Linked DNA regions of Arabidopsis thaliana. The protein of the gene in region 1 interacts with the protein of each later gene in a pairwise test. Each region holds a gene or a part of one and is shown in the gene's direction. Other genes may lie near its edges. The genes, in order: PYL6, ADA2A, NAC096 and ESR1.

Region 1 (7,520 bases):
AGAGGAAGTGAGGGAAGAACATAACTTGGCTGTTGGTTTTGGAATTGGACAGGACTCGAAAAGGGAGACTTTGGATGCTTGGTTGATGGGAAATGGCAATGAACAAGAACCATTGGAGTTTGGTGTGGATGAAACGTTTGATATTAATGAGCTATTGGGTATATTAAACGACAACAATGTGTCTGGTCAAGAGACAATGCAGTATCAAGTGGATAGACACCCAAATTTCAGTTACCAAACGCAGTTTCCAAATTCTAACTTGCTCGGGAGCCTCAACCCTATGGAGATTGCTCAACCAGGAGTTGATTATGGATGTCCTTATGTGCAGCCCAGTGATATGGAGAACTATGGTATTGATTTAGACCATCGCAGGTTCAATGATCTTGACATACAGGACTTGGATTTTGGAGGAGACAAAGATGTTCATGGATCTACATAAGATTTCAAATTTCGTTTGACTGGCCTAAGTTTGTGATTCTGCTCCGAGACGGTGTAGCTGTTACTAGCTAGAAGCTGCCCTTCTTTGAAGCTACTGATACTTTCTGATATTAATGGTTGTGAGACGTAGTACATGTAGTTAGGTAATGTAGGACAAGTTCAAATATGATTCCTTCTTTCTTTTTCTTGTGAATACATATGACATATGAAGAAGTTCAAACGTTGGGTTTAGAAAAAGTTTATAACATTCGGTACATATCAAAGTTTTGAACTTCGGATGCATATAAGCTATAAAGTTTTGATCTTTGAACTTTGGATACTCTCACATCTAATTTTCATCCTTAAGAATGGAGATGGAATAATGCGATGTTGCGTAGTGGTTTTATTGACTTGGCAAGTTTTGATTATTCAAGAAACTTGGCTTAGTTTAATGGAAATATCCAGTAGTGGAGTTTTTTGGTCTGCAGACTTTCCTCAGGTTGTCTGAGATTACATAAGCAATGAGGTATGAATAATAAAGTTATCATTAGAGAGTTATCTATCTGTATTTTCTACAAAAGGCAAATTGGGTATTTGAAAGTGCAAATGGGACATAGTTGTATATTATTTAAAAGGCTTTAACTATTCCATTCTGGTCTCCAAAATCGTTTTTCTTGCTCGAATCTTGAAGATCTTCTAAGCCTTTAGAAAAATGAAGAAATCAAGTTGGCAAACTGTTAATTAATTAAATCCAATGAATTGGTGGGTATTGCACCTCCACAAGTTCCCTTTGACAATGTGTCCTCTTCTCCGCAAGAATGAGATGCAACTATTTTGGACAATTTCTCCTTTTAATTACTTTTTGATCGATAATCTTCTCTTAATATCACGTTGTAATCTGATTCATTCAAATATCTATCGAAATTTAAGCTTATCTTTGATTTTTTCGATACTTATTTTTGAAATTTTAAGTGCATTTTGTTTATAATCATAGTTGGGGATTTAATAATTTTAGGTGGAATAATATTTTATGCATATTGGAGATTTATTTCTCGAGAAATATTCACAAACAAACAAACAACCGGCTTTTGCACAAAAATAATAATGACATGGAGTCGAGTTGTTTATACTAATGTTTGTCACTATCTCACCATTGGAATTTAAATCTTGGATATATAATACATGTTTTGACAAAAAAAAAAGTTGGCACAAATTATGTTGTTGTAACAAAATACGTCTGATGCATTGATTTGAGATTGACTCTTTGAACCCAAAAATGTATCACCGTAATATTAATACATTTTCCACATCAACTTGTAATCTATTTGTGTTCAGTAATATATTGGTGAGTGATTATGTCACCTAACCCGAAAGCTTATAAGATGAGCAATCTTTATATCGAGGATGGTGCAAAAAATAGCAAATTGTAACTTTTTGTCCTTCTTATTCTATAAAATGTCAGATATAATTAGTACTGCAAATTGCTCGCTTATTCGTATTAATCTTAACAACTAGGGCTACTTGGGAATATGTATAGTTGTTGGAAAAACTAATGCATTAGATAACCCTTTATTATTTTTCCCAATTGTGTTTTGTTATTATGCCCACCACTCAAATCCAAGAGTCCAATATATTCATATGATTTGAATATACGTTTGTGGAAGAAAACACACCCAAGAAATATTGTCCAATTCGTAAATTTCCCTGACTTTACGTTGGTTACTTTTAGCAAACTGCTTAGTTTGATTTTCTTCTAATTCGTCTTATTAATATTCTGTTCTTTTCTTTGTTGAAAAGGAATTTGATTAATACTTTTTTTAGTATCGTCGAAAGGCTCAAGTTGATTACAAGATGAGGAAAGATTATTATGATGGACCCATGACATGATATCTTCACCAACTTGGAACATTGAAAGTCCTATGGAGTTATTTTTGAAATTTTTACCTTAGTCAGAAGGTTCCAACAAAATTAAAAATCCACCAAAAACGCATCCAAGAATAGTACCAACTGAAAATAGATCGGCAATCACAAAGACAAAGGTCGGTCCTCCCAACCAATTTGTTTCAAGAATTTTTTCAAACCTATGCATAAATTAAGTATAGCTCTTAACCAATATATATAGCTTAACCAACTCGACACATAGTGATCATGTTCTTATAATCTTTAATAACGTTTTAGAGTTAGCTATATATATAGCCTCGAGACAGTAGAAGATTGAAATATCTATGCAAAACCTCAAAGATAATGTTCAATGTTTTTATATTCTGAATATTGATATAATCGGTGAGATAGAGATGAGTTCAGAATTTTTTTCTCGGTATCTTAAATGATATTGATTTCATTTTCTCAACTTTCATTCAAGAGTGTTTTTGGTTAAAACATAAAAACGTCCATTCTAATTATAGTAATGCTTGTGTGGTTACGACAACATGCTCATTCATTGTAATAAACTGGTGAAATATATAGCACCATTGACAAATAGACAGCCTCAGTAACAAAGCAAGGAAAAACAAAATTAAAATTTAATAACCGGTTATATTAAATATCGAGAACCAGTCCGTAGAATTTCATGGGAAACCGGGCCGGTCCTTGATATAAAGAAAGAGAGAGACGTTTCTTAACTGAAGCAGTACACAAACTCCAAACAAATCCCAAGTGGACAACCGAAGAACCCACACAAACTAACTCTCTTTCCTAATCCACATACTTGCATTTTTATATATAAACACTCTGTCCTTATATAGTTCTGTATATTACATGTAAATATCTCTCATTAATACAACCTCACGAAGAAAACCATTTGTTTTCTTAGAGAGAGCCAAGAATATTAAAAGAGATATAGAGAAAAGATTTGCTTTAATAATGCCAACGTCGATACAGTTTCAGAGATCCTCCACCGCCGCAGAAGCAGCCAACGCCACCGTAAGAAACTATCCCCACCACCATCAGAAACAGGTTCAAAAAGTGAGCCTCACGCGCGGGATGGCTGATGTGCCGGAGCACGTGGAGCTTTCCCACACGCACGTGGTTGGTCCTTCTCAGTGCTTCTCCGTCGTGGTACAAGACGTGGAGGCTCCGGTTTCCACAGTCTGGTCGATCCTAAGCCGCTTCGAACACCCTCAAGCGTACAAACACTTCGTGAAAAGCTGCCACGTGGTTATCGGAGACGGTCGAGAGGTTGGGTCGGTGAGAGAGGTCAGAGTCGTCTCTGGTCTCCCCGCGGCGTTTAGCTTAGAGCGGCTTGAGATCATGGACGATGATCGCCACGTCATCAGTTTCAGCGTCGTTGGTGGGGACCACAGACTCATGAACTACAAGTCGGTGACGACGGTGCATGAGTCGGAGGAGGACTCCGACGGCAAGAAGAGGACACGTGTCGTTGAGTCATACGTCGTTGACGTACCGGCGGGTAACGATAAGGAAGAGACTTGTAGCTTTGCTGATACTATAGTACGGTGCAACTTGCAATCGCTGGCTAAACTCGCCGAGAACACTTCTAAATTCTCGTAATTACATTTTTTCAATCTTTTTATTTTTATTTTATTTTCTATATTTCTCTCTTTCAAAATTTATCTTTTATTTTTGGGATTCTCGAGGTGGTTTTGGATTTTAAGATTTAAGTATTTAACTATCGTCGGGGATTTTTCGAAACTAAAACAAAAAACAAGAATTATATCAAACAAGATGGTTTTGGTTTTTCGAAGTTAGGGTTTTTAGGGTCTGTTAAATGTATGTCTCAACGATACTTTGGTTTTACCCTTAAAACCATTTCTTCTTGTACAGCTCTCGTAGCTTTATTATATAAACATTGATTGTTTAGTTATTTTCATAATCTTCTTCTTGCGCCGTATTTTACATATTTATTATTTGTCTTTTAATTTAGTTAATCATGAAACAATATAGACTATATAGTGATTCAGCTATAATGCATGGGGTATATTGTTACGATATTTCCGATATTATTATGTCTAATTTCATTAATTTTGATAACCTACATAATAATGTATTACACAAACAATTTGATTAATATAATCATTGGCATATCTACTATATATGAAGAGATCTGAACAATTGTGGGCAATCAGAAAACCCATACATGTGCTGATTGAGATGATTCGTTTTCCTTTATGTTAAGAGAAGAACAAAGTAAAACTATACATCATTTGAATTTTATTGAAATGTATAAACAGTAGAATACTACTTGGTGTTTTAAATGAATTTGCTCACCAGCTATATAATCAAAGCGTTCAATCCTAAAAGCAAAGATGGAATAATATCAATTAGTGATAATTAAACTTGAACCAAGGCGTAATGCATGTATTGAGTTATGTGATATAATCTTAAGAATTTTCTTTATGGCATATATAATGCTAGGCCAAAATAAATGGTGTCAGGTAATACAGCATTATATCTTTAATTCCCTAATTTGGAAACGTAAAATTTTCAAATTATTTGTCATTTCATCAACAAACTTTACATAAATACGTAAATGTTTTGTTTTTACTCACCAAAAAAATAAATCAAAATTATTTACATACCAAAATGATAAAATTTCTTAGTTCCTTTTATAGTTTTGGGATGCGTGAACCGTTTCAATAATTCAAATGTCAAAATTATTACTTTTTCGGATTTCCTTGTCCTATATATTAGTTCATGAATAAAAATGTACATTTGAAAAATCAAATAACTTTATCTAGTTATATAAATATAAAGAATCCAATGAACAAGATGAAAAGACATTCAAAGTTTGCAAAAGCAAAATGTGTTTAGTTACTTTATAATTAAGTAGTAAGATTTCGAGACTTGTGAACCAAATTCAAAATTGAATACATATATAGACATTCATGTATATGATCGTACGTAAAATGCAAGTTGGGGTGTAATAAAATCCAACTTGTTATAGAAAAAAAACAAAGCATGCAAGTTGCAAAGGAAAAAAAAAAAAGTCGCTACTATTCTTTGACACCTTTAAAAAATATTCCATAAATAAAAAAAAGGTTAAAGAAAAATCAAATTGATTACATAAATGATTATTAATTTATTATCATAATGAGTACGAAATATATATGTAAACATTGTCGTGGAAGGAAGGAATTGCAAGTTGATATGCAAGTTGGCAAGGAGGCTATTAATGTTTTCCCTCTTTTGGTCGTTTGTATAATGACATTTAAACCCACCCACCTTTCTTATTTTCTTTTCTGTCTTCCTATTTCTGATCACTATTATTATATTACTTATATTTTATTTCACATTTTTTTTAATTTTATAAACCCATAAGAAATTTTTTTCCCTTTTATTTACATATGAAAACATATGTATTCCCGTGTCAAAAAAATGAAAATTCTGACCAATCCAGAGAGATACGATTTATGGGGTTTGTATATTCCAATGTGGCATGTTGCATATAAACTACTACTATTTAACTAGTTTCTTAATAATTCAAATCCAAATAAACATGCATAAAAGATTGTGATAACGTACATAGCTGTGATATAATATGCATTACTTTTAAAAAGCAACGGAGATAGTTCGTATTTTCATATAGTCTTTAGCTGGGCTATCTAACACTTTAACTAATTAGAATAAGATATAAAGTTTGCTATAAAATGTAAATAGATGATTTATCCAATATATACATATGAGTGTGTCTGAAAAAGGCAAACCAAATTCAATGTAACGTGAAGAACACCGCCTCCTTCCTTAAAGTTTATTGGGGATAGATATTTTCGTCCATGATTTTAACTTCTACGATTTTAGGTTTGGAAGCATTTCGGTGTGAGTGGTGTGTAATGTTGAAAACATCAACGCGGATAAAAATCTTCTATATAGTAATTGAAAATTATCAAATACGATTTTAAAATTAATGAAAACGTCGATTTACTATTTGTTTATTAGGTTTATATACATGGTTTGCTACCAAAAATATAAAATTCTGAATATATGAGTTCACAGTTCATTCGCTTCAAAATAATATTTTCATTACCTTCATATTATAAAAATCATCTTAATTTCACAAGTTTAACAAAATTATATTAACGAAATTGTTTGATTTTATATTTGTGAGTGTGTGTTTATAACCTGAATTTGATATTATTGATTTATTGTCTATCTTTATTTTATGTAAGATTAGATTTTTTTTGTTATGATTTGAATTTTCTTACTTCCATTCATGTTCGGTCTAAGACAATTAAACTTGTGTGTTAATACTTTTTATGTGTGTCCAATATAGAAAACAACATAAAACAATTAAGCCCAATAAAGGCCCATCGGAACACCGGAACACGAGTTTTGTCAGTTAGGTTTGGCGAATCAGCACTTATAAATTAGAAGATTACAGTAGAGACCACTTTTTGTTCTTTTTGCTACATTACATTAGTTAGACTGTTTAGAGGCTACTTATCATTCTCGATTTGTCAAACCTTTTTATCTCACAACCAAAAAAGACAATATCAATTCAATGACTAAATTTTACAATTTCTCCACAAGATCTCTTTCCAAACTCAAAAAGCGCTGTCGTCTTCAAAGGAAAAAAATGTTTTCTCTTATCTCAAGTATAGAAAAGTTTAGCAAAGAGAAGCTCATTCCAAGTATCTTGAAGGCCAGGCAAGCACCAATGTACACAATCCGCATAGCTCGTTGGATTCTCCAGCTGCTCCGCTGTAAGTGGACTCCACTGCTTCTTGTATATCGACGTATGTGCATCTTTCCTGTAATTCGACATTTGCGTTATGTTCAGTAACGTTATCGGTGTTTTCGATCTTCCAAACACTTCTCCAATCACTTTCATTATGCTTTTCCTACAATCTGATCCCCAGTAGCTTGGATCTTCTATAAGTGTTGTCTGATTATAGCAATTCTGACCCGGTTCACCTCCCCAATCTATCCCCCTGAAACAGTCATAGAACAAGAACAAAACAAAATCAACAAAACCCTTAACCAGTAAGTTTCTTGCCAAGAAAGTAACAATCAGTTTGCCAATATAGTAAGTAAAGTTTAATCTGTTTATGGTGTCAATATGTATCTAACTATGGGCTAAATTGCTCGATAAAAAGGGTCAAAGTCACTAACTTGGCATGCGTTGGAGACATGCTAGTGAAGAAGAC
Region 2 (9,341 bases), on another chromosome or scaffold:
ACATGCGAATTGAAGAAGTGATCATCATGAAAGGCTTATAAAGAAGGAATGATTGATTGAATATACCTCAACAGTCCAGATGAAGAAATCAAGAGGCTCGGGAGGATGTTCTCTGGTCATCCTTTCCTCTGCACAAAATTCCCAATACAATTCACCAGCAATCATTTTACAAAACCCAAAGAAGCAACATATCACATGAATTTCGTGTAATCCAAATCGAAAACGAAACAGGAGAAGAGAAAGGGGGGGAAAAGAAGAGGAAATACCTACCGAAGCGACAGCTGTGAGATCCGAAATTTGAGCTTTGATCTGAGTGATTTTCTTGGGGAGAGAGACAGAGGAAGAGGAACGGGATTCAGCGAACTTAACTGTGCCAAAATGCGTGAATTTTTAGGGTTTGAAGAGAGAGAGAGAGAGAGAGATGAGAAGAGAGAGTCTGGGGGAGGGACAAATGGGTCCACCAAGTGAAAGTGTTTGCTTTTTTCCTCTCTTTTGGCTCTTTTTCTTTTCCTCCACGCTCCTCTCCCGCCTCCACGCGCCACCGTCTCTCCGTACCACGACCATTTTTGCTATTAAATCTTTTTCTCTTTTTTTTTTTATTTTATTTTTAGAAATAAATATTTTTACTGTCAAAATTAACTTTTACAGTTAAAAACCTTTAAGTACTGTAGTTATCAATTTTTTTGTGTATATTTTATTAGGGTAAATCATAGACTAAATATATTTGATTAGGTTTGACTCTTTTTCCATAATGAAAACAAAATAAGAGTTAGTGGCCAATAAGAAAAGAAAAAATCACTTTAGTCAATCAATTTAGTTTCATTTTCTTTTCCAATTAGTTAACCGACTGATTTTCAAATCTTACTTTTTAATTGTTTATGCTAGTCACAATTTAAATGTGGAAACGATGTTAGTTGATTCGCAAAAACAGTTATCAATATCATTGTTAGTTAGTTCATCGGAATATACGTAAATTCGTTGAGTTTTGCCATTTAACGCTTTCTATTTGCTCCCTCCTTTTGTTGTTTTGTAGTATGTACCATATCATAATTCTATGACATAATAGATGACTACCAAATTTTCTCTGCCAGCTTGCTTGTTATGAAATGAAGGAGGAAACAAATGTGAATAGTATCGGATTTGGGAGTTTTACAGAAAACAATTGAATGTTTCAAAGCCATTTTTACCAAACCCGAAGCTGAGATACACGTGACCAACACTGCTCACACACTCTTTTGACCTTTGAGCTTAATCATGGACCACCAATCTTCTCTTTTTTCCAAGTCCACTTAATTTCATTTGCTGACCTCATCTCCATTCTCATTTCCTCCTCCCAAAATATCACAAATCCTTTTGTAACTTGTTATGTCTTTCACTTTAAACACAGAGATCCAAGGAACGCCTCTTTTAATAATCCCTAGATGAGATATAATGTTACTAATACTATAATGGCAAAAATATCACCTTTACTATCACAAAGCATGGAACATTAGAACATAGGAAAAAGGATTTTGATTAGCTTAATCTGTTCTGACTTCGTATAAGATTTTCCACAGATACAAATATTGTTGATCCCTTGCTAACATGTTTCATCTTGAAACTTTGATTCTCTGAGACTCAAGAGTCAAGATTCGTCTTCGCAGGCCTCTGCGGCTGAAATCTCTGAATCAAGTTTGCTCATCAGAGTCTCTGTCACATGCTTGGCAACAGAGATCATGTCAAGGATGACGCTTGGGTCTAAGCCAGACCCGCTTCGTTTGGTTAACCCACATATATGGCCTGTCCGATTCACAGATATAGATACAGCTGAGCTCATCTGAGACTCCTCTTCTGCTGTTGCATCAACTATGTAATGCGTTCCCACCTGCAAAAACCAAGGACAGCATGGTAAAAGATTAGCGAAATGTACATAAGAAGATGTCGATGTGAATCAAGAAAAGTGAGATTCGATTACTTTTGTTAACGTGACTATGACCGGGACACTGGAAGTGTCAAATTGAAGATATTCCTCGTCGCTGATGTCAATCTCTGGTTGCTCATCATCTGCTACTTCAGCTGAAACATTGACTTTTGGGATGGCCGTGTTGGTTAAAGCAGCCTGCAGGAGTATAGTCAACAAGTGCATTAAAGCATGTGATCAGCCTTGAGGAAAGATGACTTTTGGGTTGCTTAAACTATCAATTGGAAACATATCGTAAAGCTACTAAAACCAATAACAAGACAACTACATTGAGCTAATCTATATACACTTAACTAAAGACCCATTCCCTTTCGTTTCCTATATTCTCTGGCCTTTCCTTTCTCATGATTCTGATTGATGGGTATGATTTACTCACTAACATTCGTAACTAAAACCTGAGACTAAGGGTTAAGAGAGAAAACCAAACACACATCACAAGAATTACCTTAATGGCAGCACCCAGGGCATCCAATAGATTCCCATCCGAACTAATGACAAGACCATCAATATAAAGGTCCCAGCAAACTTTTCCTTCTTTGATTAAAAGCGAAGATAAATTTATTCCAGCTCCTGGTACCAAAACATGAATTGCTATAAACGTTACAAACAGAAAGCGTAACAGTGTGCAGGTAAAAAAAAGCATTGCATAAACATGATTGCAGACCTGCTCCACTTTTGCCACCCAGAAGACATCTTTGAAGAGCCAAAGCAAGCTCAGAAGACAATTCCTCACCTCCTCTCCCCTAAGTAACAACATATCACAAAGAATTAGCCGCCTAAAGACTTAACACAGTAGAATTTAGGAGATTCTGAAGAAAAGTAATGATAACCAAAATCTCATGTTGAACAATTCCACTAGTAAGAGAAACACCAATAGAACGATAGAACGGGTGTGACAAGTGCTAGATAGAACCAAAACCAAACGAAATAAAAGAAAAGCTCACCCCAAATGTCGGTTCAGCTGTTGGACTGCAATCAATGAAAACTGCAACCTTTCCTTTATCGGGTTGAAGTGAACTTGGCCTCCCAATTTCAGCCTGCAATTACACAAGATTACTGGGTAACATCTACAATAGCACTTCCCATTCAACAATAGAACAGTAGCAGAGAGAACAAAGGAAGTACCTTTACACTAGCAATCACATCGGTTCCACCAATTCTAACTCTCGCTGAACCATTAGCCTAGAGCCAACAAAAACAAGAGAAAGAACATATCTGTTAAACAACTGGGAAGCAACAATGAGAAGCGGACGAGCTCTAGGAGATTACACTACCTGCGGAATAACACCGGTTTCGACGTAGATAGGACGGTAAGTCAATCTTTTCCGACCATCAGTTCGAAGATCTTGAGCAATCCCACCTTTAATGAAATGTTGTTCCCCAAGAGAAAGCCCCATCACTAATACTACACAGAGAACGAATTAGATCAACTGCTGAGGAATTTCTACCGGAATGACAAACTTCAAGGTTCACGGATTGGTGCTAGGGTTTAAGAGACAGCTCAAACAAAGTACACATCTTTATACAGCACAATCAAAACCCACTAATCTTCTTTACCTTCCCGGAGAATTCAATAGAAGACACAACTCTGAAGTTTTCCGGTGACCCTAGCGGCAACTTTGGATTGGTTAGGTTAAGAGAGAGACGTGACCACTGACAACTGCCGTAGGGTTTAAAGATGGCGTGAACATAATTATTGACACTTGTTAAGGGTAATTTAGTCATTTACCGACTTACCATTTTTTCACTGCTTTTTAGCGTTTTCTCGCTCTTCTGGTTTTTTCTTCAATCTGCCGGGAAGAAGTGCGAGCTTGGTGCCGATGGGTCGTTCGAAACTAGCTTCTCGTCCTGCTGAGGAAGACCTGAATCCAGGGTTCGTTTAAAGTTTCGTTCTTTGTCCATCTTAGCTCGAAGTCTTCTAGGGTTTTCTCTGTTCAATTACTTACTTGTCTTTGCGAAAACATTTCAATATCTGGTAATCCACTTAGCTGTGTTTGATTATCTGAATCGGAGTTCTTTTGGTACTTGTGGGTGGCTCTTGATTTCATACTGCTGTCGTCTCTTGTCTTTATCCTAATTTTGATGATTTTGGCTGTTTCAGAAAATCAAAAAGGAAAAAGATATCATTGGGTCCTGAGAATGCTGCGGCATCAATTTCCACCGGTAGGTTTCCGTTTACTTGTGCAATTAGGTGTGATACTGATAGGACTAAAGTTTCTGCTGTGGATAGATATGCATTGATGTATCATGTACCAAGCTGCGTTTTCCAAAAGTTCTTACATGTACCAATACATTGTAGGAATTGAAGCTGGGAATGAGAGGAAACCTGGCCTTTACTGTTGTAACTATTGCGATAAAGATCTGTCTGGTTTGGTTCGTTTCAAATGTGCTGTTTGTATGGACTTTGATCTTTGTGTGGAATGCTTTTCTGTCGGCGTTGAACTTAATCGTCACAAGAACAGTCACCCATATCGTGTTATGGTTAGTTTCCAACGCCGAGCAGTATATTTGAATTCAATTCAACGCTTTGTCAGCTGAAAAGTAATTAGATTAGTGATTGTGTTTAAAACAAAGAAAATGTTCTATGGTTGTATTTTTGTTTGTATTGAATCTACCCTTTTGTTTGACAGGACAATTTGTCTTTTTCGCTTGTTACTTCTGATTGGAATGCCGATGAAGAGATACTCCTTCTTGAGGTAATCATTAATCGTTTCTGATTGTACACTCCCATGTCTATATAGAGATTCCATCTGACTATTGGGAAGTAAATTGACTGTGTTAGGCCATTGCGACATACGGGTTTGGCAATTGGAAAGAAGTTGCAGACCATGTTGGTAGTAAGACAACGACAGAATGTATTAAACACTTCAATTCTGCTTACATGCAGTCACCATGCTTTCCACTTCCGGTAAGGACTGATGAAAACACATGATCGTCAGATAGTTGAACCTAGCTTGTTTATTTACTCTAGCTCCCCGCTCTGTAGGACTTGTCCCATACTATTGGAAAGAGCAAAGATGAGCTGCTTGCTATGAGTAAAGATAGTGCAGTCAAAACAGGTCAGCTTTAAAATCTATTAGCGGGGTTTCTTGTTGATTTGGGACTCGTATATTAACCTTGACTGAAAAAAGGAGGATGCTGAGCTCTGTTTACTATTTGTCACAGAAATACCTGCATTTGTGAGGCTATCTCCAAAAGAAGAGTTACCTGTGTCAGCTGAAATCAAGTATATACTTATGCTTGTAACAATAGTTTACCTACGTTTACAATGTTGAATGCACCTTTTTAAAAGTACTATTATGTTTCCATGGGCAGACACGAAGCTTCAGGGAAGGTCAATGAAATAGATCCACCTTTGTCTGCCTTAGCTGGAGGTATGTGAAAATGCTTTTATCTATATAAAATTGTAGACATTATTTGCACTTAGATTTATGGCTAAGGACGCAAATCATCCGCATTTCGTACTACGACCCCAAATATTATCTCTTCCATGATTCCATATGTAAAGTAATACTTTTTATTGTACAGTCAAGAAGAAAGGCAATGTACCGCAGGCTAAGGACATCATCAAGTTGGAAGGTTTGTTATATACTGGAACAAGTTTTTATGCAAAGTGATATTTACGCGAACAAAAACTAAAGGTAGTTAACGGCCCTTGTGTCTTAGCTGCAAAACAACAATCTGACAGGAGTGTCGGGGAGAAGAAACTCAGACTTCCTGGAGAGAAAGTTCCATTAGTAACAGAGTTATATGGTTACAATCTAAAGAGGGAAGAATTTGAGATCGAACATGACAACGATGCTGAGCAACTGCTTGCTGACATGGAATTTAAGGATTCTGACACAGATGCTGAGCGTGAGCAGAAACTGCAGGTTCTTCGTATTTACTCGAAAAGGTACACTTATCACAGGAACAACCATTTTTAAACCGGAGAATTTTTTCATAAGCCAATGCTACAAGCCAAGATTGTGCCTTTGTTGGCAGGCTTGATGAGAGGAAGCGGAGGAAGGAATTTGTTCTGGAAAGAAACTTGTTGTACCCTGATCAATATGAGATGAGCCTTTCAGCAGAGGAGAGAAAAATATATAAAAGCTGTAAAGTGTTTGCGCGGTTCCAATCCAAAGAAGAGCACAAGGAACTGATTAAGAAAGTCATTGAAGAGCACCAAATTCTCAGAAGAATCGAGGATCTTCAGGTTTGATGCTTAAAATTTTACCAAGCTTGAGTACTGGATTACAAACTCAATTAGGTGGGAACATTAAGTTGAGCTTTTAATAAATGTTGCAGGAAGCTAGAACTGCTGGTTGCAGGACAACTTCAGACGCAAATAGATTTATAGAAGAGAAGAGAAAGAAGGAAGCTGAAGAAAGTATGCTGCTGCGGCTTAACCACGGTGCACCAGGCAGTATAGCCGGTAAAACACTAAAAAGTCCAAGAGGGTTACCCAGAAATTTGCATCCCTTTGGTTCTGACTCACTGCCAAAGGTCACACCTCCAAGAATATACAGCGGTTTGGACACTTGGGATGTTGATGGTCTCCTTGGAGCTGACTTACTCTCAGAGACCGTAAGAACAATAATTTTCAAACTTGATGTTTGTCATCTTATTTGTGATTTTGTTGATTTGTTGACATTATTCCTATGGTTTGAGAGATTGAAGCTGTTTTTTGTGCAGGAAAAGAAGATGTGCAATGAGACCAGAATACTGCCTGTACACTATTTGAAGATGTTGGATATCTTAACAAGAGAAATAAAGAAGGGGCAGATAAAGAAAAAGTCTGATGCTTATAGCTTCTTCAAAGTAGAGCCGAGTAAAGTAGACAGAGTATATGATATGCTGGTTCATAAGGGAATAGGTGACTCAACATGACTCATAGCTTCATGGTCCTAACATGTACTTCTCGAACATATATTAGCCATGTAAATATAAAGGAAGGTGATGCTGATTTTGGTTACACATCTTGTTCTCTGTTAGTTTCGACAACTTGACAATGTCTGATTGTTATGACCTTCAAAGGCTGTTTCAGATTTTTTGATACAACGTTTAAACTGAATATTGTAATGCCTTCACTCATCTGATTCCTTCAATTTTTGTTATATGAGATCAGAAAGTCTTGAGACATTGCATCAGTTTTCAGGAAAAACCTAAATAAAACCAGATTCTTTGGTTACAAGAAACTACACTGGATCAGATTGCCATCCAACAACAAAGAAAAAAAAAAAAACAGACAGAAATCCAAAAACTTAATCTACATGAAGCCAAAAGCTTTACCATTTCTAAGGTTGCCAACTTTGAGTCTTCTCCCAAGGCTTGAAAACACCATCATGAGAAACATATTTCAAGTAAAAGAAAAAGCCACGCAGCAACTTCAAAGCTCTTGCCTTATCAACACCAACCACAAGCTTGTATTCTTTTTCGAAATCAGGGAAACTTTCTAGATAAGATTGTCCCAGTTCGTCAGTCTCATAATCAGATCCTCTTCCCTTTCGTAGTTCTCTGCATCGAGTCATTTTTTTATGGATTGATACGTAACGATGGAGCTGCTTCATCTCTCCTTCATCATATGGATTTTTCAAAACATCCATTAGCTCCTTTCTAAACCAACTGCTACTACTTTCATTCTCTTTGCTTCCTTCATCAAGATCAACCACTTTCTTGGACGCCACAAACGGTGTACACTCCTCTCCATCCAAAAAAGGGGAATCACCCATCGCAATTATATAATCAGACCAATCATCATGTGGTTCAACCTTCACTTCTACTAGTGGATCCAATTCAGGTACCATTGTCGATTCTTTTAGAGTATCCATATCATCTTTCTGAAGATTTTCCATTGGCTCAGTTGTCGAATCGCTAAGAGAATCTACAAGCCATGTGAGGTACCTCATGTAATCCTTATCCACAACCGCTTCACTCCCCTCATTCTTCTTCCTTCTCCCTACAAAAACTTCTTTGCTCCTTGAAGAAGTCTCATCTACATCATTAACCTCTGTAACTCTATGTACTCGCTCTACGTGATCAATCTCCACAGCAACCCTCTTGTCTTCTTCAGTTCTAACCAATGGAACATCTTTTATTAAAGCATCGTCACATTTCCTCTTTCTTCGTTCAGCAACTCTGTTGTCTCTTTGAATGTCTTCTTGAGTTTTAACCAATGGAACATCATCTCTTCTTAAAGTCTCAGCCTTTGACTCGGAAAGTTTCCTAACTTTGTTGTCTCGTTGTTGAATGTCTTCTTGTTGGGTTTCGAGTGAAGGAACGTCTCTTGAAGTCTTTGCAGCTTCTAACTCTGCGATCCTCCGCTTTCTTCGTTCAGCAACTCTGTTGTCTCTTTGAATGATTTCTCGGATTTTAACTCTTTCAACCTCAACTCCAACAGTTTTCCTCTTGCTCTGTTGATTAACTCTGTTCTTCACTGGATTCTCATTCCCAAGCTTAGATCTCTTTGAATCACAAGAAAAGATCTTTAATCTACGAATGTCAGATGCTCCATTGTCAACTTCAAGGCGAGTGCTTGAACTTTTCTTATCACCTCTTCGAAGATGATCCAAGAAGACGTTGTACTCCTTATCAACCATAAGATCATCATCATCATCATCTTCGTCAAGACAGATAATTGGAACATCGATTTTTTCAGACATTTCATTCACCATAAACCTTGTATATCCATCATCAATCACAATGGCTTTCTTCTTCATCGCAATCAACACTCTATTAAATTGATTAAAAATAGAAAAAATTAGGAAATAATTATGGAAGTAAAAACCCTAAAACGATCAATCCGTTGTCGCTGAAACCATAATGCAGGAAAAAAAAAACTATGAAAGCTAGAAAGATAAAACATAGAAGGAGCAAAAAAAGGACGCAGAATCGAGCATACCGTTTAGAGCGACTCTGCTTGTGAACACTAAACTGAGCAAATTATTCTCCTAAAATAAGAAACGGAAAGAAGAAGAAATTAATGATATAACGTAAATATTAGGGTTTAAATGCAGATCAAATTTTGCTATAATAATTAAGGAAATTTCTGAGAGAAGCAGAATATGAAGAGACGTGAGATAACACTTAAGGAGGCTATACGCCAAAGCTATAAACCAATTATTGTTATCAGACAAAATAGTTAAAGAGACCTAAGGAAAATCCACGTCATATATTTCATATTTTCTCACCATATTAAGAGTTTTTTTTTCCTTTTTCGCCAACCTTAAGAGTTAGAAATAAGGAAATATCGCATAACTAAATAAAAGTTAAAAATAACATAATAACCCGATATACGAAATAATAACATAATTGTATTTTATGATTTGTGGGAGTGTGGGAAACAAGAGCATGCATTGGGTTACTTGTTCAGTGAGTATTAAATATAGGTTGGTGTGTGTCG
Region 3 (7,853 bases), on another chromosome or scaffold:
CGTATAAAGAACCGAAGATCGACGGTCAAGAGGATAAGACGAAAATATGACAAAAATATATTGTTAATATTGAAGTTTAGAATATTTAGCATTATTTCTAAATATATTATGTATATTTATATTTATCTTAGATTATGAAACTTAGATCAATCTCATCTCTATATAAAAGAATGCATCTTGTACAATTATTCTTATGAGAATTTATTATAATTAATCCTAGACATATTTGTGTTCTTTACTCTTATCAATTTATCATTGCATCAGAACCAGCTTAGAAATTAAGATTGAAAGCTCTGATACTATAATAAAGTTACATAAATTTCTAACCCAAAACCAATTGGCAATAAGTACAGCGACTTATGTCTCTTATATATTACTCAATGTCTCATTACATGCTTCCTAAACATTATAGATCTTAATCTTATGACCTAATAATCCCTACCTTAATCTCTAACACACATTATACATGTTACGAGATATTTACGATTCAGACGAGATATTTAGAATTTTAATTACTGTATCAACGTATGAATATTAATTTATTGGCTAACTACTTACTAGACCAAAAACGCTTTCACCACGTAAGGACAATATTATTTACAAAACTAATATAGGTATCCGTGTAAGGGTGGTCATTGATAGATCCGTTTATTCGTATAGGCAAACTTTTTCGAGTATATTTTCCTCTACATATGCTTTTAGTTTTTTTTTTTTTTTGGGGTTAATTCTCTTTTCCGATCGTATTCCCGCTGACGATACCATGGGTTAAAGTGAACGTACGTAAAGTAGTGTGGGAATATTCTCACTCTACCAAAATAATAAGGTAACACTTTCATAGAACGAGAACCTATGTTACCGTCAACTCAAGTAACTATTTTGAGCTTTTTGCCACTTGGATTTCTCAATTACGAACAAAATCAAACCAACAAAAATGATTTTACAGATTAATACATAATAACGCTTCAGTATCTTTTTTCTTTGACAACATGCATTATCTGAGTTTAAATTTGGTTAGTACTACATCGATAATTTACAAGTACCTATGCTAATAGTCAAAATTCAAATTAAAAATCTAATATCCGAATAAATGGAAATCACGTATATATAACCAATTACAAATAGTTTATAAAAATTCAACCTTTCGTGAATGATTTTGCTATGTATAGACTAAAACCGTGTCAAACCAAATATATTAGTTGGCCTACTGTTCCACCAATATGGATGTCGGGACATACCATACCATCCCTTTCTACATTTGGTATGTTTTCACATTTCTTTTCATGGGAAGACTAAGAACTGGATTACATTTTATTTTTAATATAAATTAGATATTTTATGACCTCTAAGTAATAGTTGAAACCTGGATTCTATCGAGGATGATCGATCTTTCTTTTCTATTATATTTTTTGTTACAATTTTTGGTTTTACTTCTTAAAAGAAATGACTTACAAAAACAGAGCATCAAACTTTCGGGTTTGGCAACTCTGGTTTTTAGCAATTAAAACAACAAAATTACCGAGTGAAAGAGTCTCAAAACCACGAAAAGAAATGTCTCGCAGAGTAATTGTTGCGTATTACTCGGTCAACTTGTTTCAACAAATAACACAGAAGATTCGGTTCTTACGTTCTTGCCATTAGGTGTAACTATAACAGCTTGGGTTGCAATAAGACGAAGGATGGATTATTGGTTATCATGTCGAGGAGACTCGAGGCAAGTTGAGAGTCCCATGATGTGGCATCTCAATCATGATGTGCACCATCGTCACAATTAAGTCATAGCTATTGGGACAACGTTGAAACAATTTGTCTCTTGTTTTCACATATATTTTACAAAGAGGGAAAGTGTTATCTTATCTCCAACAATTCCCAAAGAGCATAAACGGGAGAGGAGGGGTAATCGATTCAAACAGGCGATTCACATGGTGAAAGCATGTTTTGGGACTGAATCCGAGAACCATACTTGATGATACCAAGGGATCGGACTTCCAGAAGTGGCTGCATGTTGTTTGTGAGACATGGATTAATGTCAAGTAGCAGAGGAAAACCTCAACATTGTGGATTTAAGCACCAGAAAACTGCCAACCCTCTTCATTAGTAGCGTTAGCTAAACACTAGTCAATGTTAGAAGCTGTCCATAAGGAATACCAGAAAAAGCATATATTACCGTCTTTAAGCTTGAAATAAAAGGAACCATAAACCATTTCTCCTTAGGTTTAGGAGTTGTTGCCACATGGAGAGCTCCCTAGGCTCTTCTTCATTAGTGGCCAAAAACATCTCCATTTCTTTTTTTCTTTTTTTAAGTTAACTATGAAATTTTAAGATTATGTGACGTATCATTCGAGAAGTCATATGGTTTATGTTGACTGCATTAGCTAATAAAACTCTACTTAAGATTCATGTTAGTGATGTGGAAATTGAGTCATCGTGTATAAAGGCATCCCTTTTCCGAATGCTATGAAAAAACCTAAATTGATCCAACTAAATGGGAAACCATGAACTGCAACTTTATATTATCGGGATATTTTAGGCGAAATAATAAACTAAACTCGAGAATATGAAGTTACTATGTAATTCCAAAATTGTTAAAGAAGAAACTTTATATCTCAAGCATATGACAACTAACTTCTATATAAGTGGCTCTTTGGTCGTTCTTAAAGACATGAACATATAAACAAATTAGAAAATGTTAAAAATATGTTTTGGTCCGATTAAAGCAGCCGCGGGTCCACTAGCTTGTTCCGACTCAAATAGTTTTCGTTATCACTTTCTTCTCTCCATTTTTTTCATACGACATAAAAGTGATATAGTTACACTAAAAAGTTGTTTTGTCCTACGCATAGTGACGTGTAACAATATTTTAAAACTCAATATCACAGTAATATATGACTGGGAAAGTTACAACTTGAGGTGTAAAAGTTGCACACATTAACATATCTATAGGCTATAGCATTGGTACATTTTAAAAAACTATAGCATTTTTTTTACAAAAGATTACATTGAATTATTAGTAAATATATAATATACATAAAAACTGATTATGTTGTAAATCACATAATAATTGTATGATTGAAGATTGAAATGATAAGCCTATTATCGAAAATAAAATTAGTCAAGGAGAAAACTTTGAAAGATATATGAATGAGTTGTTAATTGCTTGTGCATAAGTGTGAACATGTAAATAAACTTTTGAATCTAGGTAGGTCCATTTACTTTGGAATTGTTACATAGAACACTTCAGACAAGTTATGTCTTAATCACTTTATCGGTCACCCATAATTTTGTAAAAAATAAAAGCCACATTCTAACAAACTTTTATAATTCCATTTTACATTTATATACAAATCAATATTCTACCAACTTTGTGCTATAAATATTCATCACACCACAACCATTCAACACTCTACCAACCTCTTCTAATTTCTACAATCACTCTCTTAACTCTTTGCTAAGCACTTCTTGTTAGGAAAAATCATTCCTTAATCACTCTCGAAGCTTTCACACCAATATTACTTCCTTACTACATCTCTTCATTTTAAAGATTTGTTAGTTACTTTTTTTTTTTGTTATTGTACGAAATAATTTGTTTTCTTTCAGACAATGTTCTTGTCACACAAAGAATACAATCGACTTGACTTGCAATTTTTTCTAAACAACAAATCCAGCATCGAGAAAAGTTTCTATTTTTGGATTTTCCAAATATTAACAGTTATAGCTTCGTGACTTCAAGAAATATCCATTTCAAGATTATTTAACCTTTTTTTGTCTAGCAAGTCATCGTATTCTACTTTGTTGTTGCAAATGGGAAGTTCATGTTTACCTCCAGGGTTCCGGTTTCATCCTACGGATGAAGAACTCATCGAATATTACTTGAAAAGAAAAGTCGAAGGTCTCGAGATTGAGCTTGAAGTCATTCCCGTCATCGATCTTTATAGTTTCGATCCTTGGGAGTTACCAGGTAATATATTAACTTCCAAAAATCTATTTAAAGTATTAGGTAACTTTTCAAATTTTTAATATTTTTGTGTTGTTACTTTTAGACAAGTCGTTTCTCCCAAACCGGGACATGGAATGGTACTTCTTCTGCTCAAGGGACAAAAAATATCCTAATGGTTTTCGTACAAATCGAGGAACAAAGGCTGGTTATTGGAAAGCAACCGGAAAAGATCGAAAAATTACTTCTCGTTCATCTTCTATAATTGGTTATAGAAAAACTCTAGTTTTCTACAAAGGCCGTGCCCCGTTAGGCGATAGAAGCAATTGGATCATGCATGAATATCGACTATGCGATGATGATACATCACAAGGATCACAAAATTTAAAGGTAACTTTATAATTTGATCAAGTTCTAAAATGGTTTCGTTTCTTTTGATATTGAGAGACCATTAAGAAATGAATGTGTTTAACTATAGGGAGCTTTTGTGTTATGTCGTGTTGCTATGAAGAATGAGATCAAAACTAATACGAAAATCCGAAAAATTCCAAGCGAGCAAACAATCGGATCAGGAGAAAGCTCGGGTTTATCAAGCCGAGTAACGTCTCCTAGTCGCGATGAAACAATGCCGTTTCACTCATTTGCCAATCCTGTATCTACTGAAACTGATTCTTCCAACATTTGGATTTCACCTGAATTCATCCTCGATTCTTCAAAGGTAATGTGTACACAATTCTAAACATACTGATAACTAACTAAACCAATGTTTGTTAATCGTATACCGGTTTTATAATTTTTGTAGGACTATCCTCAAATCCAAGATGTCGCATCTCAGTGCTTCCAACAAGACTTTGATTTTCCGATCATCGGTAACCAAAACATGGAGTTTCCAGCGAGTACAAGCTTAGATCAGAACATGGATGAGTTTATGCAAAACGGTTATTGGACAAATTATGGATACGATCAAACCGGTTTATTCGGTTACTCAGATTTCTCCTAGACGGAAGTATTTGGTCTCTCTTTACGACAAAAACACCTTTTATCGTTTTAAGTATTGGAAGACTTTTGGCATTGGTCTAAATATATGAATGAGTTTCATAATTCTGTTTTTTTTTCTTTTACTTTTTATGGGATTATTATATTTTATATGAAAATGTTTACCGTTAGTTATATATCTTATATATATGAAGCTGTATTTTATATTCCATATGGATTCTCTTAAAAGTCTCAATAGGATTATGCACTACTGTCATCCTTCAACTATCTATCTCTCATTAGTCATTTCTATTACAATGATTAATTGGACCAGTGTGGTCACCACACTATTATACCATCTTTTTGTGACGTCACTATATATAACCTTTAGAATAAACTTTTGTGGAAGTGATAAGTTGATAACAATGACTCTGTGTAAAACAATCTTTTAACAAAAGGAATCATGGCACCAAAAATACTAAACACTTATGAAGTTATGAACAACATAATTTTTCTCTAATACAGAAAAAAATAGGATTGAAAAATTGCATCTCTATAATAAAAATAAAGGAGCATAATTGAAGTTATAGGATATCAAGTTTCCCAAAAAAAATCTCATCGTTTGACCACTTGGATGAGCTTTATAAAAAAATTATTTTATTTTGGTATTAAAATGTAATGTGATTTTCTAGAAGTATTAAGATTAATAAAATTATTTGTAGGCATATAACAAATTGGGTCCATAGCTCAGTGGTAGAGCAATTGACTGCAGATCAATAGGTCACCGGTTCGAACCCGGTTGGGCCCTGATATTTTTCTTTTTTTATTTTTTACAACTTTTTGTAGTTTTTGCCAAAATTTACCAAGTAACCAACACAAATCAAAAAGTAATCTTTTTTTTTACCAACGTAACTCTTCAAATTAACACCTCGTGTTACAAAATTCCAGAAATTAAAAACATAACAAAATCGGTCGCAACAGAGAATCGAAATCACGTAGTAGAAAACCGAGACAAAACCAAAATAAGCCGTATCGTAACGATACATTCAATCTACACAACCACTAGATTAACCGGTTCTCAATTCGCACCTCCACAGTCTTATCGTACTCCTTAAAGCAGGCGATTGTTCCCAATTCCTCAACCTCATCAATCACAGTATCAAGCCTCGCAACCATTTCCACAAGAAGTGACGCAAACGCAGCAAATGGTAACGCTTCCGAAAACTCCAAACTTTTCATAACCGCGATTTTGCTCAATTGTTTCCTCAATCTCCTCTTCTCTCCGGTCGCCGCCGATTTCTTCACCGATCTTAAGCTAGAGAGTGAAACAACGCTGTTTAACGGAAGTGGTGATACGGTGTCGTTCTCTTCTATAGTTTCTCCCAAAACGCAGCCGTTTGTGTTATTATCGTTGTGATATGAAACGGTGCCGTTTGAGTTAGTTTCGTTGTAATATGAAACGTGGCCGTTTAGGTGCTTGTTAGTGATGTTACTATGAAGGTTAGAGCCTAAGAAGAGCTTAGGTTGTGACTTGATTGTGGAGTTGAGATCTTTTAATGCCGCTTCGAGACTGTCGGAGAGAATCTCCGACGAGCAATGACGTCGGTTTTGAATGCTTTCGGAGAGTTCTGATAAAACTTTGCAGATTTCTCCGGCTAGTCTAACACAAGGATCTTTGAAGAGGACACGGATAGACCTTGGAGTCTTAAAAAATTAACATAAAAACATTATAATAAAACTATATGCTATAATTTTAATTTCTTCTAATGCAAATAAAAGGTTGAATAAATTACCTGAATCTCGGTTTGTAAGCAACCGTGAAGAGCAACAACAGTGTAACCAAACTTGCGAAGAACGGATCCAACTTTGATATATTGTTGGGATGGAAATTTGTTGCAACGCCTTGTGTGTCTTGGCTCCCACTTTGCATACATTGCCTATATAAATATGTGTCAATATGTTCAATATAGATATTGGGACGATATTCATATACAAAAATATCAAATGAATACATTTATAAATGTTCATTAGAAAAGAAACATTTTTACACAAAGATATTCAAGATATATAATTTAACTAGTCGGATTCGAAATAAAGATTTTGATTTAAGATGTCTTACGAGCGCTTCGTCGGCGGATTTAGAATCCAAAACAGTATTATACCCGTTGTAGATTAGGTCTTCATCATCAGATTCAGAATCTGATGTTTCGTTGTCTTTCAGCTTCTCCTCAAAATACTCACTCACACATGCTAACATGTATATAGAATAAAAAACCATTTATACTATGTAACTTTATATTATGCATACACATATATGTATAGTTATAATTTGCATGTTTAATACATTGATGTTTATGGTTTTAAGGAATATGTACCTTCAATACATCGAGAGAGGCCTTGGAGCTTAGTAATAGTTGATTTGTGAAGGTCATCACCAGACCAGATCGGGAAAAACAGAAGGCTCATGAAGAGGCAAATGCCAATACCCATACCAATGGTATATAATCTCTCATGCGCGATCTTAATCACAGTATCCACTCTATAACTTGATACTGTGATTAGATTAAACGTCAAAAGAAATACAAGCATGCCGTAATCGTAGTTTTTCTTTATGTACGGAATAAATCTCATGTATGTTATCATCGATCCTGTTACACATATGAATGTACAACGTGATATTAGATATCTTTAAATTATGGAAATAAAGTCATAGATTGGATAACTATGAAACAAACAAAAATGCTACATGACGGGAAATAAAATAACAAAACAGAAGAAAATGAGAGGTTTAGTTATTGAAATGTGGATAACTCTAATACATGGGATTTGTCATGATGTTGGTTTAAAGTTTTTTTGTATATTATATCTTATAAATATTTGTCATACATAAAGTGAACAATTTATAAGGAAGTAAAACGTACCGATGGTGAAAACAGAAGTGCCAATG
Region 4 (7,165 bases), on another chromosome or scaffold:
TGGGACAAAAGCTGTTGAAGAACATCTAGTTACAGAAAAAAGGAATGATGGATCTTGGGACTAGGGTTTCTACATTAATGCACCAATAATATATAATAATATTAAGAGTAATAGTAATAAAAGAGTAGTCATTTATTATCTGCCAGTTTCTTGTTTGCTAATGGTTTAATGGGCGTACAATGTATATGCATACATATGAATCTGACCCTAAGGTATTAGAGGTAGAGAGATTAGGAGACAATTTGATCAGAGCCAAAAAGTACTACTGATCTTACTCTAGTTTGGCAGATCATTTTGCTCCTCTTCTCTTTCTATTATTTTTCCTAATCTGAATTATTGTACACTTTTAATAGATGTTTCTTTTATTATTATTGTTAGTTAGTACTTCAAAAAAATGAAATAGTTACAGCAGATCATTTTTTTGTTTGTTTTACTGATCATATTCATACGTAATTTGGTGTTGAAAAGTAAGCTTATAATTTGGTGTTGAAAAGTTAGCTTATCATAAGAACAATAATCAATGTGTTAATTAGTTATATAGATTAGGACCCAACTCTAGTGTAATTACTCTTCAAACAGTAAGTTTGGTCTATCTTCTCAATAGTCTAAACAAGACGTGAGCTTATATTATAATAAAGAGCATTACACCAGATTTTCCAATAATCCAGAAGTTTCAGTTTCAATCCGAAATCTAGATAATTTATTCAAGAGTGTGGATGCATTTAATGTTATTTGGCCCAAATTTCTCAGTATATTTGAGAGAAGTAAAAATATTTATATTAAGCAATGAATTATAAGTTCTTAAAATATAAAGATAGTCAAATCACAAAGTAATATTATGTAACGCATGGGTGCTCAGGGTCCACATCATAGGGGGCAAAATGATGAGAATGATCTTTTCTTATGTCCCAAAAGGTCATTCACTTTCAACGGGATTTGTTTTTTTAACCTATTTTGTATCACACTTTTATCTCGAAAGATTTTATTTTATTTTTTACTACTTGACGGTTTTTTTTCCTGTTTTTATTAAAGCAAGAAGGTTGATTGATTGAACTCAGAATTTGGAGTTAGAATTCTTTTTGATGTTGATGAAAGATCATTATTAAAGAAATACATTTTATAATTTAGTCCTTTTTAGCAGAATTTGAGTTAGAATTCTTTTTGATGTTGATGAAGGATTATTGTTCTTGGAAGAATGAATAATTCGAAGAAGTGAAATCCGTTTTTCAAGGGATAAAATTGATTGATTGAGTTTTGGAGTCTTGGTATTTGACACTCTCTTTCTTTTGTCGTTACAATATCTTCTTTTTCTCGACCCACCATTTACTCTGTCTTTCAAAATCTATCAAATCATACTTTTGATTAGTTACTATACTATAGTCATTTATACCAACATAGTTCATACAAAAAAGCAACACTTAACAAGAAAGAAAAAATATAAGGGGATTAAAAATAGAGTGGTGAAGCAACGACTCCAACTCTCCCATTGATTAGAATACATCCTTTTCCATCTTTACGGATTTATAAAGATTTTGGTTATTTATAGATACAAATTAACAGTATAAAAACAGTTATCATTTTTTCTTTAGAAAATAAATAATTTTTTATAATATGGTCCATGTTTTCATTAAAAATTATTTGATAAAAATATGGTTATATTACAGTTTTACTAATATATTTCTATCTACATATAAAATTTAGATAAAATTTGATTTCTTTGCTGAGTTTGTTTGGTTGAACTAAAGTCATGTTAAGTTTGATTCGTTTGGTTGTGAGATATGTAGATTGAGTACGGTTTGACTATAAATAATTGGTTCATTTCTTGCTTTCACTTAATTGATTAGGTTGGATATATAATTCACATGTCCAACCCTAATCGAAACCGAAGTATTTCAAGTTGATATTATGATAGATACACTAAAATTATCTCAGAACACGAGCTATCGTAATAATTTACTTTGTGACATCGGAAATCACAAAGACATTTGCATAGGACTGAGCTGGAAACCAAAAGTCTTTAGTTCCCAAAATTATGAAGAATTTCTCAAATTTTTAATAGAAAATAGATAAGTTCACCAATGAACTCTTTTGTTGTTTTTACCATATAGTAATAACTATACTTAACAATTATTATAGTATATATTAACTCAACCTACCCCCCCAGACAAAATCTTATATCAACCATGGATACTGTTAGTTTGGTAATAAAAGATCTTGCCTATGGTTTCACATAGAGTTGTAACATTTCAACATTAGACAAAATGTTATCAGTTTAAGTTCATATTATGACTATGCACATTTTAAATTAAAACATTTTAGTTTGCTTGTAAAATTACAGAATTAACGCAGGGGTTTTAATTGCTGCTTATTGTCTCATTCAGTCATTTGCCGACCAACCAACATAAATCTCAATATAATGAGTTCATGACGTCATGGTCATGGTAGATGGTTTTATAATAATACCTAAAAAATCTCAAATGATGGTAGTAATTAAACACATATGACGCAAACGCAGCCATTACAACGCTATTTCAAAACTTATTTAAACAATTAGTAATACTTACCAAAGCTTTTGAAAGATACTCCAGTAAACTTGTCAAATTCTTATATTGTTCTAATAGACTTTATAATAAAACGTAAGCATCGGGCGATATGGCATGATTATTTCATGACAGAAGAAATAAATAATTTTAACAAAAAAAAAGACAGAAGCAATAAATAAAAAACAAGCTTCTGATACATGAAATACATATATGTCTCATACATACGTTTAGACAAACCTGAAATGTCCTCTTCGTACAATAATATCCACAAGTGTCAGATTTACACTGAAGTGTTGCTATGCATATCTTTTGTTCCATACTTTTCTTACAAAATCATTTATTTTCTTCTCGATATCACCGATTGGTGTATGTTGTAATCATACATTAACATTAACAAACAAAGATACTTTTTCAAGGATTATTCTAATTGGCAGTTTTAGAAATAATGGAATTATCCTTTACTAATCATACAGAAATAATGTAAATATGTTTAGCATGTGTGAAATGACTGTTGGTCGATTTTTAACTTTAATAAATAAAAAAGCAATAAGAACGTGGTTTTATTTCGCCACTCCCACTTGCATCGTCATCATCAAAGAAAAACACTAATGTCTAGACCAAAGATTTAAAACATCTACCCCATATATATATGATGAACAAGATAGCAAGTAAATTTAAATGTAAAATTAAATTTTAGTTTGCTAAGATTAATATACAAAAGAAGTATTATCAATTTATCAGTTATTAATCAAATCAAGTTTTAAGTGCAACTCAAAAGTTTCCATGCTTATATAGTTATTTGTATACTACTATACTGTATGTGCAAGAAAAGCATTTATACTCTTCGCCATATATTTCAAACTTCACAAAATTTAATTAAATTTTTATACCATTTATGTACCTATAAATAGATAGAAGAAGCTCCATCTCTTTCAAACTATCAACCACCAAAATCTTTCACATTACACCTTCCTTTTGTCCTCAAACCAAAACCCTAGAAACCAAAAATGGAAAAAGCCTTGAGAAACTTCACCGAATCTACCCACTCACCAGACCCTAATCCTCTCACAAAATTCTTCACTGAACCTACAGCCTCACCTGTTAGCCGCAACCGCAAACTGTCTTCAAAAGATACCACTGTAACCATCGCCGGAGCTGGCAGCAGCACGACGAGGTACCGCGGCGTACGCCGGAGGCCGTGGGGACGATACGCGGCGGAGATACGTGACCCAATGTCGAAGGAGAGACGTTGGCTCGGAACATTTGACACGGCGGAACAAGCCGCTTGTGCTTACGACTCTGCGGCTCGTGCCTTTCGTGGAGCAAAGGCTCGTACTAATTTTACTTATCCGACAGCTGTCATTATGCCTGAACCAAGGTTTTCTTTTTCCAACAAGAAATCTTCGCCGTCTGCTCGTTGTCCTCTTCCTTCTCTACCGTTAGATTCCTCTACCCAAAACTTTTACGGTGCACCGGCAGCGCAGAGGATCTATAATACACAGTCTATCTTCTTACGCGACGCCTCGTGTTCCTCTCGTAAAACGACTCCGTATAATAACTCTTTCAACGGCTCATCATCTTCTTACTCAGCATCGAAAACGGCATGCGTTTCTTATTCCGAAAACGAAAACAACGAGTCGTTTTTCCCGGAAGAATCTTCTGATACTGGTCTATTACAAGAGGTCGTTCAAGAGTTCTTGAAGAAAAATCGCGGCGTTCCTCCTTCTCCACCAACACCACCGCCGGTGACTAGCCATCATGACAACTCTGGTTATTTCTCTAATCTCACTATATACTCTGAAAATATGGTTCAAGAGACTAAGGAGACTTTGTCGTCGAAACTAGATCGCTACGGGAATTTTCAAGCTAATGACGACGGCGTAAGAGCCGTCGCAGACGGTGGTTTATCGTTGGGATCAAACGAGTGGGGGTATCAAGAAATGTTGATGTACGGAACTCAGTTAGGCTGTACTTGCCGAAGATCGTGGGGATAGCTAGATATTCATCATGATTATGTTTTGAGTTTTGGTACTATCGACTTAGTTTAAAGTTGCTACCTTTCCCAATGTTGGATATTAACTAAATTATGTTTTAAGTTGAATTTGCTAATAGGATTTCATAATTATAATCAAGTTTATAATATATTTTCGTAGCTAATTAAAGTTTATATCCACGTATTCTGACACATTACGCGCTTAATGATTTAAGTTGTATCATAATTTATAATCACATGGTGGAACTTGTTAAGAAGTTACGTAACTCTTAAACAGCTTTAAGCCTCTAACATAGTCGTAATAGCAAGAAATAATATATATGATGAGAGATGAGTAAAATAGGAAAATTCCTTTGTTCAGCAATGTTGGTATCGACCTATTAAAAGTGAATCTGCAGATGAAAAAGTGATATCCTTACATTTATTTGTTTGTAGTCTGAAAAGTGGACTAACGTTCGTACAAAAGGCAGTGTTTGTCTCTGTCTTCTCCAACTTTTCGTGCTCTCTTCATTCTATCACCAAAGGAAAAGCTGAACTACTAAATAACAAAGGTCAAGAACTTTAATATTGATTGATGTCAAAAAAATTAGTAATAAGTACTGATTTTTTCACATGTTGATTAATAAGTACTGAATTTGCAGAAATAAACTAAAATATATGCTTTGACCAAAAAAAAAAAACTAAAATATATGCTTTTTCAAAAAAACTAAAACTAAAATATATGCAGAATGAGTTTAATTCATTGCGAATATATGATGAAATACAAAAAAAAAATTGCGTTTTTTTTTGTATCAACTGTACCCACTACTCATGTTCGCAATTCCGTATGTTTCGTGGTTATTGCGTTGATGTAACATGTATATCCGTCGATGAAATTAGTAGTATACGAAAATTGAAAACCACAAAAATGGTACCAAAGAAAATGAACACGTACGCACACACTAATCATATGTTTGTAATTTAATCTACTGTCTCATATAAGTAGACAACTTAGATATTCCTGTTGGATGCTAACTTTAGAAATCTCAACGAATTAAAGTGAAATCATAATAGGGGATACATTATTAACAGGGTGAATGTCAAATTGTTTCAAGATGAAGGCTCAAGGCTAGGGGTTTAGGGGTATTTGTAGTCTTGTAGAAACATAAAGTTAATATTCATTAGGCAATTGTCAAAACCATATTGTTCCTTTTCTATTTTTTGATATATATACCTTGTAAAAATATTCCACATCAAAAATCCGATTCGCTCAAAAAAAACTCTGATCGTATGATTCTAGTTAAATAAATAAATGGATGAAAGCATCTATTGCATTGTCAATTTCAACACAGCGAAAGCACGGAACTTCAATTGTTGAACTCTATTCGAACTCCAAGCTTAGTAATAGCAAAATTTCTCTCCATACAGTAGTAGACATGGGCGCAAAAAGTTAGGCCCAGTTTTTAATCAGGCCCATTATGAGATTTACATCTGAGAAGTGGAAAGTTTGTATTCTTGGTTTATGTACTTCACTTGAATTGCTCTTTTCCACAACTCCACACATTATTATCTACGTCTGCTAATTGCTGTGACATAACTTTATTATCATCTATGATCCTGAATATTTAGTGGTTGATTACTACAGAGTATTGTTGTTAAACTCGATGTATGAAAGTGCAGTGCATTTCTTAACAAAATTTAAGTTTACCTTGTATTTCTTCTCTTCTTTAATCTTCCCAAAATATACTTTTGTGAATGGTGATTTAAAAGCTTTTGAGACCACTCAAATGATAAAGTGGGGCTTGTGACGTTTCAGACATTGAAAACCTCATAATATATTAGTGGGAGACCTTAAAAAATCAAGTCAACGCCGACTAATCCAACACAGCGTCACACGTTAACGTATGCAATACAACATTAGGATATTTTTATCACGCATCGTTGTTTACTTTATGTTATGTAAAAAATGTTAGAAATCAAATCGAATTACAAAACGTGTAGTTTATCTTTTCTCAAAAAGCCTCCAAGTCGTCGTTTTCATGTACACACACATACTCCACTCGTTCTCATAATTCCGATCAAAATATTATCATCATTCATCCATACGTATAACCCAATAATTTATTCTTATTGAAATTGAAAAATCAAATTTTCCTTACCGGGTGATATCTTACATTTAACTATTTAAGCAATCATAAACAGAGAAAGAAACTAACATACTCAATTCACTATCAAGAGTGGAAAAAATCGTACAAGTAGACAAACACTTATCTTATTTGTCCAAGTAAGAGTTTTATATCTCAATCATAAGTAAACGGCCTTATAGTCAATGTATCTCGCCGACCTATCCAACACAAGTCACGATGATGATCCACTGGCTTTTGTTTAAAAGATTTACAATCATTGAATCATTTTGTCTCATTAAAATTAAATAATTTGATAAGGATTGTTGATACATTGTTACACATGAAATGATGCTCTGTATCCTAAACATTTTAATCATAGTAATAATTCCCTAGAAGAAAGAAGAATATGATTCTTTCCGTTGACCTTTTAAGGATGTCTAAATGGGCCATGATGAGTGTTAAAAGTAAGCCCAATTACAAAGGAGATATTTTAGATGACCACGTGTCACAAGCTTAGTAATGAA

What was found.
Region 2: the proteins of PYL6 (region 1) and ADA2A interact in binary tests that used the Arabidopsis thaliana proteins (3 or more experiments, as listed by UniProt).
Region 3: the proteins of PYL6 (region 1) and NAC096 interact in binary tests that used the Arabidopsis thaliana proteins (3 or more experiments, as listed by UniProt).
Region 4: the proteins of PYL6 (region 1) and ESR1 interact in binary tests that used the Arabidopsis thaliana proteins (3 or more experiments, as listed by UniProt).

Annotation. Positions count from the first base shown.
Region 1 is NC_003071.7:16,841,584-16,849,103, reverse strand, and holds PYL6 (PYR1-like 6), read left to right. Parts: upstream 1-2,909; 5' UTR 2,910-3,279; coding exon 3,280-3,927; 3' UTR 3,928-4,516; downstream 4,517-7,520. Other genes in the region: DREB2C (Integrase-type DNA-binding superfamily protein), read left to right, coding at 1-439; TBL33 (TRICHOME BIREFRINGENCE-LIKE 33), read right to left, coding at 6,965-7,304, 7,486-7,520. UniProt on the Arabidopsis thaliana protein: Receptor for abscisic acid (ABA) required for ABA-mediated responses such as stomatal closure and germination inhibition.
Region 2 is NC_003074.8:2,467,502-2,476,842, reverse strand, and holds ADA2A (ADA2 2A), read left to right. Parts: upstream 1-3,747; 5' UTR 3,748-3,780; coding exon 3,781-3,833; exon of another isoform or gene 3,834-3,935; intron 3,936-4,061; coding exon 4,062-4,123; intron 4,124-4,206; exon of another isoform or gene 4,207-4,207; coding exon of another isoform or gene 4,208-4,259; coding exon 4,260-4,462; intron 4,463-4,590; coding exon 4,591-4,656; intron 4,657-4,742; coding exon 4,743-4,868; intron 4,869-4,946; coding exon 4,947-5,019; intron 5,020-5,125; coding exon 5,126-5,186; intron 5,187-5,275; coding exon 5,276-5,334; intron 5,335-5,488; coding exon 5,489-5,539; intron 5,540-5,626; coding exon 5,627-5,855; intron 5,856-5,944; coding exon 5,945-6,155; intron 6,156-6,247; coding exon 6,248-6,526; intron 6,527-6,634; coding exon 6,635-6,829; 3' UTR 6,830-7,012; downstream 7,013-9,341. Other genes in the region: AT3G07750 (3'-5'-exoribonuclease family protein), read right to left, coding at 1,625-1,864, 1,955-2,098, 2,406-2,530, 2,625-2,703, 2,905-2,997, 3,086-3,142, 3,235-3,357; AT3G07730 (uncharacterized protein), read right to left, coding at 7,237-8,658. UniProt on the Arabidopsis thaliana protein: Required for the function of some acidic activation domains, which activate transcription from a distant site. The exact mechanism of action is not yet known.
Region 3 is NC_003076.8:18,901,881-18,909,733, forward strand, and holds NAC096 (NAC domain containing protein 96), read left to right. Parts: upstream 1-3,377; 5' UTR 3,378-3,798; coding exon 3,799-3,955; intron 3,956-4,037; coding exon 4,038-4,321; intron 4,322-4,409; coding exon 4,410-4,649; intron 4,650-4,733; coding exon 4,734-4,931; 3' UTR 4,932-5,172; downstream 5,173-7,853. Other genes in the region: AT5G46600 (aluminum activated malate transporter family protein), read right to left, coding at 5,969-6,610, 6,700-6,843, 7,026-7,156, 7,282-7,554, 7,828-7,853. UniProt on the Arabidopsis thaliana protein: Transcriptional activator involved in the positive regulation of abscisic acid (ABA) responsive genes. Acts as a positive factor of ABA-mediated responses.
Region 4 is NC_003070.9:4,426,241-4,433,405, forward strand, and holds ESR1 (Integrase-type DNA-binding superfamily protein), read left to right. Parts: upstream 1-3,477; 5' UTR 3,478-3,550; coding exon 3,551-4,537; 3' UTR 4,538-4,725; downstream 4,726-7,165. UniProt on the Arabidopsis thaliana protein: Regulates gene expression patterns in meristems and thus modulates organ development. Required for correct embryo patterning and cotyledon organogenesis. Modulates auxin signaling pathway in early embryos.